2 linked regions of the Caenorhabditis elegans genome follow. The protein of the gene in region 1 purifies or fractionates together with the protein of each later gene. This does not show direct contact. Each region holds a gene or a part of one and is shown on either strand. Other genes may lie near its edges.

Region 1 (8,252 bases):
TTATTTTTATTATTCTCATTCAAAATTTTTCGATAAAGTGGCTTGTTATCAGCCATTTTAAACTCGTTCAATCAAATCATGGGTTGTACAGTTGTTCTACGAGCAAACATATTCAAACTCTTCCCCAACCCGTGAATACTCTTTTGAACGGCACCCCATTGCCGATTTGGGGTGCACCATTAGGCAGACCTGTCTGTCCGCAAGCCTCCTACGTCATCACACAGACACTAACCCAGCACCATTGCGCAGACGCGACAGACGACCTTTTATTTGCTACTCATATACCACACGATTTCAAATTGCAGGTTTTCGTTCCGCCGAAATGGATTCAAAACTCTAGTCATTTCAAAATTAATAAAAGGTTTGTGTTTTTTTCTCTCACGCATTTTTAAAATTCCATTTCCAATATTTAAGATGGTCGAATTTTCAAAGGAGTCATCGACCAGAGTCTCTGTAAACTCACAACGACAAATATCGCATGTCCAGAAACGAGAGCTCACGAAGCGAAAGGTTCGTTACTGATGTAACAGATAAGATGGGAAGTAGTGTAGGCGGGATTCTAATGGAAGACTGGAAGGTCAACCGTTCGATATGACATCATTGTGACCCCATGATGCTCGTCGGAAGATAGGGATTCTTTTTTTTTTTGCGTATCTGCTACGTGGTTATTATGCGTTGTTCAAATACTTTAACAAGAACAGTTTCTCTATGGCATTCATCTTATGATCTGGTAAGATTTCCATTTAAAGAAACACATTTCCTGAGCAATAAAAGTATGAATAATAACTCATTAATTAATAAACGTATTTTGCAGAGTGTCCGATTTGAAACACAAACTGTGGAGTCAACATCCGAATTTGTTGGTAAAACGAATCAGGAATGGACGTTCGTCGCTGATTGCTTGTATGTTTCAAGCTGTAATTTATTAAAACTATTTTTTAAAATTCCATTTTTCCAGCAATCTCGACAAAGAAACTCGAAGTGAACGAGAACAGGAGCTTCTCTCGCTGTGCAACTTCTTCGATTCGAATGAGAAGGAACTCGAGTTGAGCGGTATTAAATTAAAATTTTAATAATCCAGTTATCAATAAGCGTATTTTAGATGCTTCTGACGAATCGGATGACTCGGTTCCATTCGAATTATTTGCCGAGCAGGGAATGCGAATTGCTTGGACTCAAATCGTTACGTAAGGATTATTTGATGGTTTATGTTGTTTTAAAATTAAATTTTTTAGCTCACCGTCATTGAGCAATCTTCGCTTAGCTAGCATTCTCCGCTTCGATACAAAAAAGAAAATAGTTTCACCCTTCATTGAGTGAGTTTTTCTGATAAAATGCCCGATATTAAAATGAATTATTCTAGAGACGAAAAGAGTCCTCAAGAGTTCTTCTTGGACGACAACGAAGCGGTCGAGAATGCTTTCAAAGGTGTCTTACCATGCACAAATTCTCAAAAAGTGAGCAGGTCACGTCGAGCTTCAAAATCAGAAGAAGAAAACGATTTCGTAACGGCCAAGGGATCCGACTTTTGGAGTGATGTCGAATTTTAAGAAAGACCACGCAGCAGAAGCAACAACTACAATGTTCACAAATCCCAATGCAAAAACTGACCGATTAACGGATTTTATCTACTATCAAGAGCTTTCAACCGTCTTCCAAAGAAGAACATCTATTCGTCTCCCCGCAATTCTATATATAATTTCGTTTTGTCTTATCTCAAATTCTGTTCGTATTTCATTTACTGATCAAATTTACTCTTGTTCTATTGTAAATCATGTCCTTATTCCTAATCTCCAAAATTTTTTAAAAATTAAAGTTACCATTCCACTAATTTTCATCTCTTTCCCTCAACCCATTTCATTCCTTTCGCCGATACTCTAAAATTTAATGTGCCTTTCTTTCATTTAATTTCAGTTCATCTCTCAATTGCCTTTTTTCAATTTGCAGAAACTTTATTTATTTCCATTTTATCATCCAATGCCGTTCAACGAATAAATGATTTGATTAAAACGTTGTGTGGATTGACCAAGTGGTTTTCTTCCATAAGTACCTGAATTGTATAGATCAACTTTAAACATTTAAGCATTGAAACATATTTCCAGATGGGCACGAAAAAAAAGATTTTGGCAAAACTAGCCAAGTTCGGCGAGGTAGACTGGACTCCGAATGAAGAAGAATTGGCAGAGCTCGTTGAACTTTTGAATGATATAAAAGACGACGTAAGGTAGAAATTAAGGATGATAATAATAATAATTTAAAGACTTTAGATATCTACACAAGAAAAAGTTCGAGACGTCGATTTGAAAGTGCTCGCAAGCTTGCTCACTGTCTACCGAGCAACGTGCTGTGAGCTCGATATGAGCATTTTTGCAATTCTTCAAAGTCTTGAGAAGTATGGAACAGATTTCAGCGATTTACAACCACTTGTTTTCGGCGAAGAAGCTAGGAAGAATTATGAAAATCTGCGGAAAATGGGACTCGACCTGCATGTTAGAATTACTCCAGACGATGTAAATGAATCTTTTTATCTTTCAAATAAATATTTAATTTCCTAATTTCAGGCAATTAAGACGTTTTTTGATGCAGCAACACTTTGGAATACTACTAAATATCATGTTCGGCCGGTAAGTTATCTTATCACAAATTATATTATCTCATGGTTTTTGTTTAGCTGACAGAAGAAAATTCTGAAAAAATCTACGATGTTCGATTTGTACTTCGATTCTTCAACTCGATTCTACATCCTGCATCTTCGGTAAGTTATTGTTTTAGGTGCAATTAAAAATAATCTGTTTAATTTTCCAGCTTACTTCAAAACTATTTGTTGAACATAACTGCCTTGCCCTCCTGTTCTCGTGTACATCTTCATCGGATTCTTCTGTCCGAACTTTGGCGTTTGCATGTCTTCAAAAGTTTGTGAATCATTTACAAGAACTGAACACTGAAATATTCGCTGAAAAAGCACTGATTCTCTATCTAATTCGAATTTTCAAACATGGATTCGATTCGTCAGTGCCGAGAGTTTCAAGTAGTAAGTTTTTGCGAGGAATTTAAAAGTTCCAATTATTTTTTTTTCAGTCATTACTCATTTCTTCGCAAGAGTCTCAAAGTTAATGTTGAATCCGTCAAGTGATGTTTATCCGCAGATCATGGCTTTTCTCTGTATGAAACCAATTTTTGACATTCAAAATGTATGTTTCTGACTGTGATAGAGGGGTTTTCCACTACTTGAAGAACATTTTTCAGGTTCCAGAATTTTACAAACTTCTCTTCTCGTCTTCTCCAGAACACCATAATGAAGAACGTGAATGGGTACTTACTCTGATCTCCGAGGCAATGCTCGAACCCATCGATTATCAAGTTCTACAAAACCGAGCTGGTATCAAATTGCTGCTCAGTTCGTTCTCGAGTGTTTGGCTGGAACGGAAAAGTCGTTCACTGATTCTTCGAACTCTTCAAAATGCCGTTCAAATGCCATCTGTGGCTCATGATCTTTTCACAAGAGAAGGCCTGCACATGTGGATTGCTTCTATCATTCATGTGAGTTCATAGAATAAATATCTACTTATTGCGCCATGTTGTTCCAATGTTGCCAATTGAAAATTGATCTCAAAATAAAGTAAATAACTTTATTAATCTCAAAATAATATTTATTTCAATTAAAACACTTTCAAAAGGTGCTAAAAATCACCTGAAAGTTGCAAGTTGTCGTAGTTTCCACAATTGGCAACTTTCAGGCAGTCTTTGTGCATTTTCTGAGATGTTTCAACTGAAATAAATGTAATTTTCAGATTAAAAAAATTGATTTTCTATATTTTGACACTAATTTTTCAATTAAAAAATATGTAATTTTATATAATATAATCTCTGCCAATGACGAAATATTTCCAGAGTGGTCGATTCAATAGATGGGAGAAGAACTATTTGGCACAAGTATTTTGTAGTCTTTTGGAAAATGAACGAAAATATCAACGAGGAGAAAAAGGAAAAGAGCAAGCGTGTAAAGCGGCTACTTCTGCAGCAAGAATTTGTAGTAAAAAGGTTAGTGATTCAAATTTATGAAACTTACTATTACCGGTACAGAGAGTGTAGATAGTTAGAGAGTGCCAGACATCCGGGACCCAATGGGGCGGGGCGCGCGGAAGAGACGATTTGTGTCGATTTACGAAATTTTCCTTGTTGTCATCATTTACTCTCTAACTATATACCCTCTCTGTACCGGTAATAGGGAGTTATTCAACCATACGGTGCGATCGGGTAAAAGTAAACGTGTTATGCGATAGCTGGCATCTTAGGCTTTCAGAATCTGTAATTTGTTTCGGCGGAAGACCTCTGTGAGTCTGGAAATTTTCATCTGAAAATGTAGTACTGAAATCAGTGCATTTCCTATGGTTAACAGTGGATTTTGTCTCTGGCGCCAACAGAAGTCTCACTGCAATGGTGGAAGGGCGAAATCATCGCTTCGGTGGTCGAGTGGTGAACGCGTTCGCCTCTTGAGCAGAAGTTTGTGGGTTCGGTTCCCACACGTGGTTTAAATTTTGGCCTTTTTTTATACAAAATTTTTAGAACGGGAAACAAATGTTTAAAACAGTTTTTTGAGGTTTTTACATTACTTTTTTGCTTTTTGATTGAACCACAATTACCCTGGAAACTTTTCAGAAATTTTTATTTTTTCGAAAATTGCCACTTTTTTCTCCACCAAACCCATGAGAAAATTTGATCCAAAAATTTTTTTTGAATTTTTTCAAAAATGTATGAAATATTGTAGAGTGTCACAAATAACTTATTTTTCATTGTTTTCAATGACCGAATCACTAATTCTGATGCCGTATCAAGACGTTTTACCAATTCGATATTGGCAAAACACCTTGTCTTTGAGACTCCATATCTCCGCAGGAAAAAATTGCGCTTAAAAGTGATCAACTGAAAACTTGTTAAACACAATGTGATCTAAAACTTTTCAGTTGAACACTTTTTTGTAAAAAATTTGGTTGCTGAGATATAGACCTTTAACTATTTAGAATATTCAAAAATAATGAAGCTCAAATCAATTGGTTCCAACTCGGCAACCAAATTTTTTACATGAAAGTGTTTTACTGAAACGTTTTAGATCACATCATTTTCAACAAGTTTCTAGTTGATCACTTTTTTGTGCGATTTTTTTCTGCAGAGATATGGAGCCTCAAAAACAAGATGTTTTGCCAATATCCACTTGGTAAAAGATTTGGTATTCTGATTTTTTACATTTTTTACCATGTGGCAAATTTTTTTTCGAACTACCAAGTTTTTTTTGTACAGTTTTATAATGATTCAACATATTTTTTGGCATATTTAACACCGCGAATTAGAACAATTTGCGGTAATTTTTGCATTTCATTTGTTTTAATGGTTTTTGAAATTTTCTGCCCTTCGTTGTTTTCAGTACTCGTTCTATAATACTCGGCAGAGAACACTTTCTCTATTATTATTCATTTATTTTTTAATGACTTTTTCTATTGCGAATGTCATATTTTTGCTCCGGAAGAAATTCCCGGATCCGCTACCGTCTGCACCATCCATCACTCGCGAGGAGGAGAAAATGGCAACTCATTGTTGGAACATTATCAATCAAGCTGTTGACGGAGATATAGAAGTATATGAAGATGACGATGCTGTTGACGATAATCACGAGGATTGGATTCCAGAAGAATTTGAGGTATAATGAATTTAATAATGGTACAACTATTAATTTTACAAATTTAGCCGAGTGACGACGTAGTTCTTGCATCACATCGCGATGTAATGTTTGGTGACAGATCAATTACTCGAGAATTACTTGATGAGGCAATTGTGTTTTTCCGTGGAACCAAAAAAGGATCAAGAACTCTCTCTTCGATGATGGAGAAGTACAAATGGATCAAACGAGAATGTGATTTGAGCAAGCTTCGAAAGTATGAGAAGGAACGAGACGATTTCACAGAAAGCCGAACAAATCTTCTGCGCCGTCTCGGTAAAACACTTTATGAAGTGGTTAAAGATAAGTTGGAAAAGGGTATGTTTAGATGTTCTGAAAGTATACCTATCAAACTATTTTTAGGTATGATGATTCATGACTCTGATCTCGCATCAATTGCTCGCGAAATCAACAATAACGAAACGAAAGTCGAAAACTTCATTGCCTCGTCAAATTGGGTGTCGAAATGGAAGAAGAGTCATCGGTACGAGTTTTGAAGTATTTGAAAGTATCAAATTTCGATTGTTTTTAGGATCGTAAGCAGGAGAATAACCAAATTTGTTACACGGAGGTGTATGCGGGATAAAGTGGCTATTCGAAAAACAGCTGATGATTTTGTCAGGGACACCAAACGCGAAATGTCTCCGTTTGATCCATATATGATTTTCAATGCGGATCAAACAGGCATACAAAAAGAACTCTACGGTGCACGATCATTAGCATTTTTGGGAGATAAGGTAGTGGAGAGGCTCGTCCAGGCAAAATCATCCCTGACACACAGCTTCACTTTTCTTCCGATGATCTTCATGAATGGCTCACTTGGACCGAAGGCGTTTATTGAGATGTCAGAACCTGCCACTGGATGTTTCCCGCCAAGCCGACCAATTCCCAAATGCCCGAACTTGGAAGTCAGAGCGGCAAAAAGCCACATCATGGGAAAAGAATTGATGTGTGATTGGATCAAGACTTGTGTGGCTCATGCTTCGCTCCCAAAAAGGCTCTTGATGATAGTTGATAGTTGGCCAAGTTTTAAGGATCACGCTACAATTCAACAATGCTTTCCTCCAGGATATGACGTCACTATAAAGAACATTCCACCTCATACGACTTCAATGATACAGCCTCTTGACAGCCATTGGAATGGCCCGTGGAAAGTATGTTTTTCTTTTTCTTCCACTTCTTTTATTTGATTATTTTACAGAACTTGATCAAGAAGTTCACCACCCACGTACTCAACTTCCATCCAGATTTCCTCATTGCAAATCGGAACAATGAAATTTGGATGATTTCTCTGCTTTATCACCAGGTTTCTGCTCGCGAGTTCCAATCATTCATGATGTATTCTTGGAAGCGTTGTGGCTACTTGGATTCAACTGACACGTTTTTGACCCCTTCACAGCATTGTTTTGGACAAGTCGAAGGCCAATTGTGTTACTTCGCAGGATGTTATAATCTTGCATTCATTTTCTGTGCCCGTTGTAAAGAATATATCTGTTTCTCACATTTTATTGTCGACGAAAAGCATCTCTGCCCAAATGTGTGATTGCTGCCCACTGTTTTTTTCGACAAATGCCTTATTTTCCAGTGTCGTTTTATTGATAAAATATGCCAAAAAATATGTTGAATCATCATAGAACTGTACAAAAAAAATTTGGAAATTCGAAAAAAAATTCGCCATGGTGCACATGAAGAAAATTTCATTTTTTGGTCGGAAATTTTTTTCTCCAAATCTGTTAGATATTCAATCCCCATAAAAATCTCGATATGAAAAACATGGTAAAAAATGTAAAAAATCAGAATACCAAATCTTTTACCAAGTGGATATTGGCAAAACATCTTGTTTTTGAGGCTCCATATCTCTGCAGAAAAAAATCGCACAAAAAAGTGATCAACTAGAAACTTGTTGAAAATGATGTGATCTAAAACGTTTCAGTAAAACACTTTCATGTAAAAAATTTGGTTGCCGAGTTGGAACCAATTGATTTGAGCTTCATTATTTTTGAATATTCTAAATAGTTAAAGGTCTATATCTCAGCAACCAAATTTTTTACAAAAAAGTGTTCAACTGAAAAGTTTTAGATCACATTGTGTTTAACAAGTTTTCAGTTGATCACTTTTAAGCGCAATTTTTTCCTGCGGAGATATGGAGTCTCAAAGACAAGGTGTTTTGCCAATATCGAATTGGTAAAACGTCTTGATACGGCATCAGAATTAGTGATTCGGTCATTGAAAACAATGAAAAATAAGTTATTTGTGACACTCTACAATATTTCATACATTTTTGAAAAAATTCAAAAAAAATTTTTGGATCAAATTTTCTCATGGGTTTGGTGGAGAAAAAAGTGGCAATTTTCGAAAAAATAAAAATTTCTGAAAAGTTTCCAGGGTAATTGTGGTTCAATCAAAAAGCAAAAAAGTAATGTAAAAACCTCAAAAAACTGTTTTAAACATTTGTTTCCCGTTCTAAAAATTTTGTATAAAAAAAGGCCAAAATTTAAACCACGTGTGGGAACCGAACCCACAAACTTCTGCTCAAGAG
Region 2 (3,789 bases), on another chromosome or scaffold:
GCCAATACCGTATCCAACTCGAAATGATCGTGTGGCGGCCGGTGCTGAGAGGACGCAGCGGAAACATTATATTCGTAGCTCTGCAGATGAGACGGTTGTGGATAACAATGGTTTTGAAACTGTAAGACTTTTTAGATTAAGCTTAATTATTGGATTATAAATTTCTTAATTTCAGACTTGCCCACCGCGACTTATTGGTTGTCTGATTAATGGGATTGTGGATGGAAATGACACTTATTCAAAGCACGCTGGTGACGAATCTACGAGAAATTACAACTTGCCAGATGCAATCAAAGCATGTGATCTTAGTTTTTCGGAAGTTGATTTCAAACTAACTACTGGATCAATCAAAGAATCTCTACCAAAACTAATCAAGATGGCTGTTCGGCAGTAGGTTCAAAATTTCAAATTCTATAAATTTCCGGCATTTTTCAGTCCATTATTTCAATCGGAAAGTCGCCTTGTCTTCATCATGATGAGCTGTGTTCGAACAGTTTCGATTATTTTCGATAGAAATCAGGACACGCTAACTCTATTCGACGCACACCAGCATTACTGGCCAGATAATAAAAGTAATATTTTATAGTTAAGCTTAATAGACCAATTAAATATAATTTTCAGAAACTTATAAGCACGGCGCTCTCATTGGTACTTGTAGCTACAGTAACTTGCACTCATTTGCAAAATGGATAGAAAATTTTGTGTATCCGGATGTCGCCGACCATGTTAATGTGAGGATCTACATTTTTTTTCACCTGTCATTACAAAATTTCAGGCATTTGAAATTTCGCTGATAAGAATTACGGAAGCCGGCACTAACAAAGCTCAAGGTGTATGTAAATATCCGGATAATAAATTCACAACGATCCGAACGCCAGTTTTCCAGGCTATGAATTTGCAGGAGGACAAAGAAAGTAAGTTTGATAGTGATTAAACGAAATTCAACAAAAACTAGATTGCAGATCTGAAATTGTCGGACCATCCAGTTCTCCTCGGCATTCTCTCCAAACCCCCAATCGTAAAATGTGGAGTAAAACGACGACACGACTCAGAAAATGGGGAAAACGAATTTACAATAAAATTAAAGAAGGTATTGAAACACAGCAGTTAAACATAATTTTAATTTCTTTTCAGAAATCGCCTAAAACGACTTCTGAGCGGACTTAATTACAACTTGGAAGATTCTCAACAATGTGCCATCGAGTTTTATGTGATATACAGTTTTTCTCTAGTATTTAGAATAAAAGTTTTTAATAAATTCATTTTGTTAAAGAACTAGAAGGAAAATAGGCAAAAGAAAATGCAAAAACAAAAAAGAAAAAATAAAGAAAACTCCAATTGCTCGTCATATGTGATGCGTTACAGTAATATCTGTGCGGCACGCAGACGCAACATTGCACAGCGCGGGAAAATTTGTTGTTGACAATTTAAGTTTATACTCCCAAAAAATTGTTTTTTCTCTTTTCAAATGAAAGTTTTGCTGAAGTATTGTGTTTATTTTTGTTTAATTAAAAGTTTTTAAGCGGCGGCAGTGTTAATAAGTGATTCAAGCTGGAATTATCAACTGAAATCAACCAAAAAATCGGCCTGTCGGTCTGTTCTAGCGGTAGAATTCTAAAAACATCATGAATACAGTTTATATGTTTGTTTAAAAACATTTATTGATAAACCTTTTCGAAACGTACTAATTCCCGCCGTATGGCCGGTTTTTAGTGGACTAGGCAACGCTCGGTTTCTAGGCTCTCCCGCGCTATTATACTCATTTGAATTTATCCGCTTTTTATTGAATTTTGAATATATATCGAATAGTATTTATTTTCAGATATTAACAAATCAGAAAATGGACACTGAAAACATCGCCGACGCCTCTGATATTCGTGTGAAGGATGCTTCAGGAGATTCAGATGAAAAAGGAAACGGGACTACTACAGAAGAAGAGACTGTCGAGCAGAAGTAAACTTTTGCTGCAGAATATCATCAATAAAATCACTTTTCGTATTCCAGAGAGAAGCGTCTCGCCGAGTTGCTTGCAGCTGGACGCCGTGCGTTGAAAGTTAACGATATCGACAAAGCATCGGATTCGTTGAGTGAGGCTACTGAACTGAGCTCCGAAATTTATGGAGAAAACCATGAAAACACGTTCGATTCTCTTTACTATTATGGCATGGCCACACTGGAATTGGCGAAGGAGGAGAGCCAACTTCTGAAAGGTCCAGGTGAGAAGGAAAGCGGAGATGAGGAGCAAGCTGGAAATTCTGATGACAAGACTGACGAAGAGAATGGAGAAACGGAGAAGGAGGACGGAGAGGAATCCGGTGAAGAAGAGGACGATGATGATGATACCATGAAATTATCATGGGAAATTCTTGAGGTTTCTTATTTTATTCAATGATTTTATGCTTAATTGTGATTATTTTCAGACAGCTCGTTGTATTGCCGCTGCCAAAATCGAAGCTCTAGAAGCTGAGCAGAGTGGAATCAGTGCCATTGAGGAATGGAACCTGAAACTCGCTGATGTACTGGTTCTCCTCGGCGAGCACGGAATATCAGATGGAAAGTATACTCAGGCTTTTGAGGACTTGGATCGTGCCCTCAACATTCAGCGCAATGTTCTTCCACCGTCGTCGAGAAAAATCGCCCAAACCTACATTCTCATCGGAAACGCGTGTGCTAGCGATGCGAATTACGATGAAACCGTTCAGTACTTCGGCAAAACCAAGGACGTACTCATCGCCAGGCAGACTGAGTTGAAGCATGAGCTGGAAAGAGGTGTTGATGATAAGGAAAAGAAGTCTGAATTTGAGAATGAGCTGAAGGAGCTTGAAGAGATGATGCCAGGCGTTGAAGAAATGATTGCTGATGCTGTGCACTCTGCAGCACAAGTTGAGGAAACTAAGAAGGCCATTAAAGCGCAATTCGAAGGATTCACACAAGTATTGGCAAAACTTCCACAAGAAGCCGGTGATCAGAAGGAAGCAAATGATATTTCTAGCTTGGTACGGTTTGAATTAACTTCCCGTAGACTTTTTAAATATTCAATTAACAAATTTCCAGGTTCGTCGTCCAGCAAAACGAGCAGTGGATGCTCCAACTGACAATCAAGCAGTGAAGAAAGAAAAGGAGGAGGAAGGAACAACTTCGATCTGAATATTGATAACCTGTAATTCTAAATATTTCATCATGATCTGACCTACTGAACTACTGATAATGTATCAATTAACATTTTATCTGTTATCCGAATTTAAGGATTCTAAAGTAAAACTTGTTCTGTATATATATATTCGCCATATATTCGTTTTTATAATTTGTTTCAAATCTTTTTCATACTTCCAAAATAATTTTACTATTTAAAACAGGATTTTCAGCTTCATTCAAATTCGAATTATACTTGTATGAGTGAAGAATTTGATGATTGCCATTGGAAAAATATGATCTCTGCTAATAAACAGTTTGATATTCAGCTGGGAGATGAAATTGGAAAGGTAATTTTTTTTAGATAATTAACAATTTAAAAAAAGTAAACTTAAATTTTCAGGATTTCTTCACCCAGGATACAGTGGTCTGCGCGTTTCGAAACAAGGAGAAGACCACGGATTTTGTCTTCACATCGGGTCCAATTATTCTCATTTGTGATGGAACGACGCGACGGAAGATGATTAAACGACGGTTCAAAATGGAGTTTGATATCAAAAAAGTGTTCTTCCACTCGTTCATTGTGACTCGAAACGCTGAAAAGTTGGCAACTGAGAATTGTGGTGGACCTGATACGAAGCATCGGGATTATTTGGT

What was found.
Region 2: the proteins of urb-1 (region 1) and nasp-1 fractionate together in Caenorhabditis elegans (co-fractionation; one large-scale study listed by BioGRID). This does not show direct contact.

The regions. Positions count from the first base shown.
Region 1 is NC_003283.11:6,418,006-6,426,257, reverse strand, and holds the start of urb-1 (Nucleolar pre-ribosomal-associated protein 1 C-terminal domain-containing protein), read left to right. Parts: upstream 1-2,102; coding exon 2,103-2,219; intron 2,220-2,267; coding exon 2,268-2,510; intron 2,511-2,561; coding exon 2,562-2,624; intron 2,625-2,671; coding exon 2,672-2,755; intron 2,756-2,805; coding exon 2,806-3,031; intron 3,032-3,078; coding exon 3,079-3,191; intron 3,192-3,246; coding exon 3,247-3,540; intron 3,541-3,891; coding exon 3,892-4,041; intron 4,042-4,459; exon of another isoform or gene 4,460-4,532; intron 4,533-7,948; coding exon of another isoform or gene 7,949-8,038; intron 8,039-8,098; coding exon of another isoform or gene 8,099-8,134; intron 8,135-8,210; exon of another isoform or gene 8,211-8,250; coding exon of another isoform or gene 8,251-8,252. Other genes in the region: T05H4.11 (DUF4706 domain-containing protein), read left to right, coding at 415-510, 815-903, 959-1,053, 1,103-1,187, 1,236-1,316, 1,364-1,550.
Region 2 is NC_003280.10:11,104,796-11,108,584, forward strand, and holds nasp-1 (Protein NASP homolog 1), read left to right. Parts: upstream 1-1,816; 5' UTR 1,817-1,840; coding exon 1,841-1,953; intron 1,954-2,004; coding exon 2,005-2,371; intron 2,372-2,420; coding exon 2,421-2,996; intron 2,997-3,054; coding exon 3,055-3,147; 3' UTR 3,148-3,275; downstream 3,276-3,789. Other genes in the region: C09H10.9 (YqaJ domain-containing protein), read left to right, coding at 1-121, 176-390, 436-572, 622-731, 776-914, 963-1,090, 1,135-1,167; apc-1 (Anaphase-promoting complex subunit 1), read left to right, coding at 3,429-3,482, 3,536-3,789. UniProt on the Caenorhabditis elegans protein: Promotes normal hermaphrodite (XX) development, in concert with zinc finger protein tra-4 and histone deacetylase hda-1, perhaps as components of a complex. May act redundantly with nasp-2.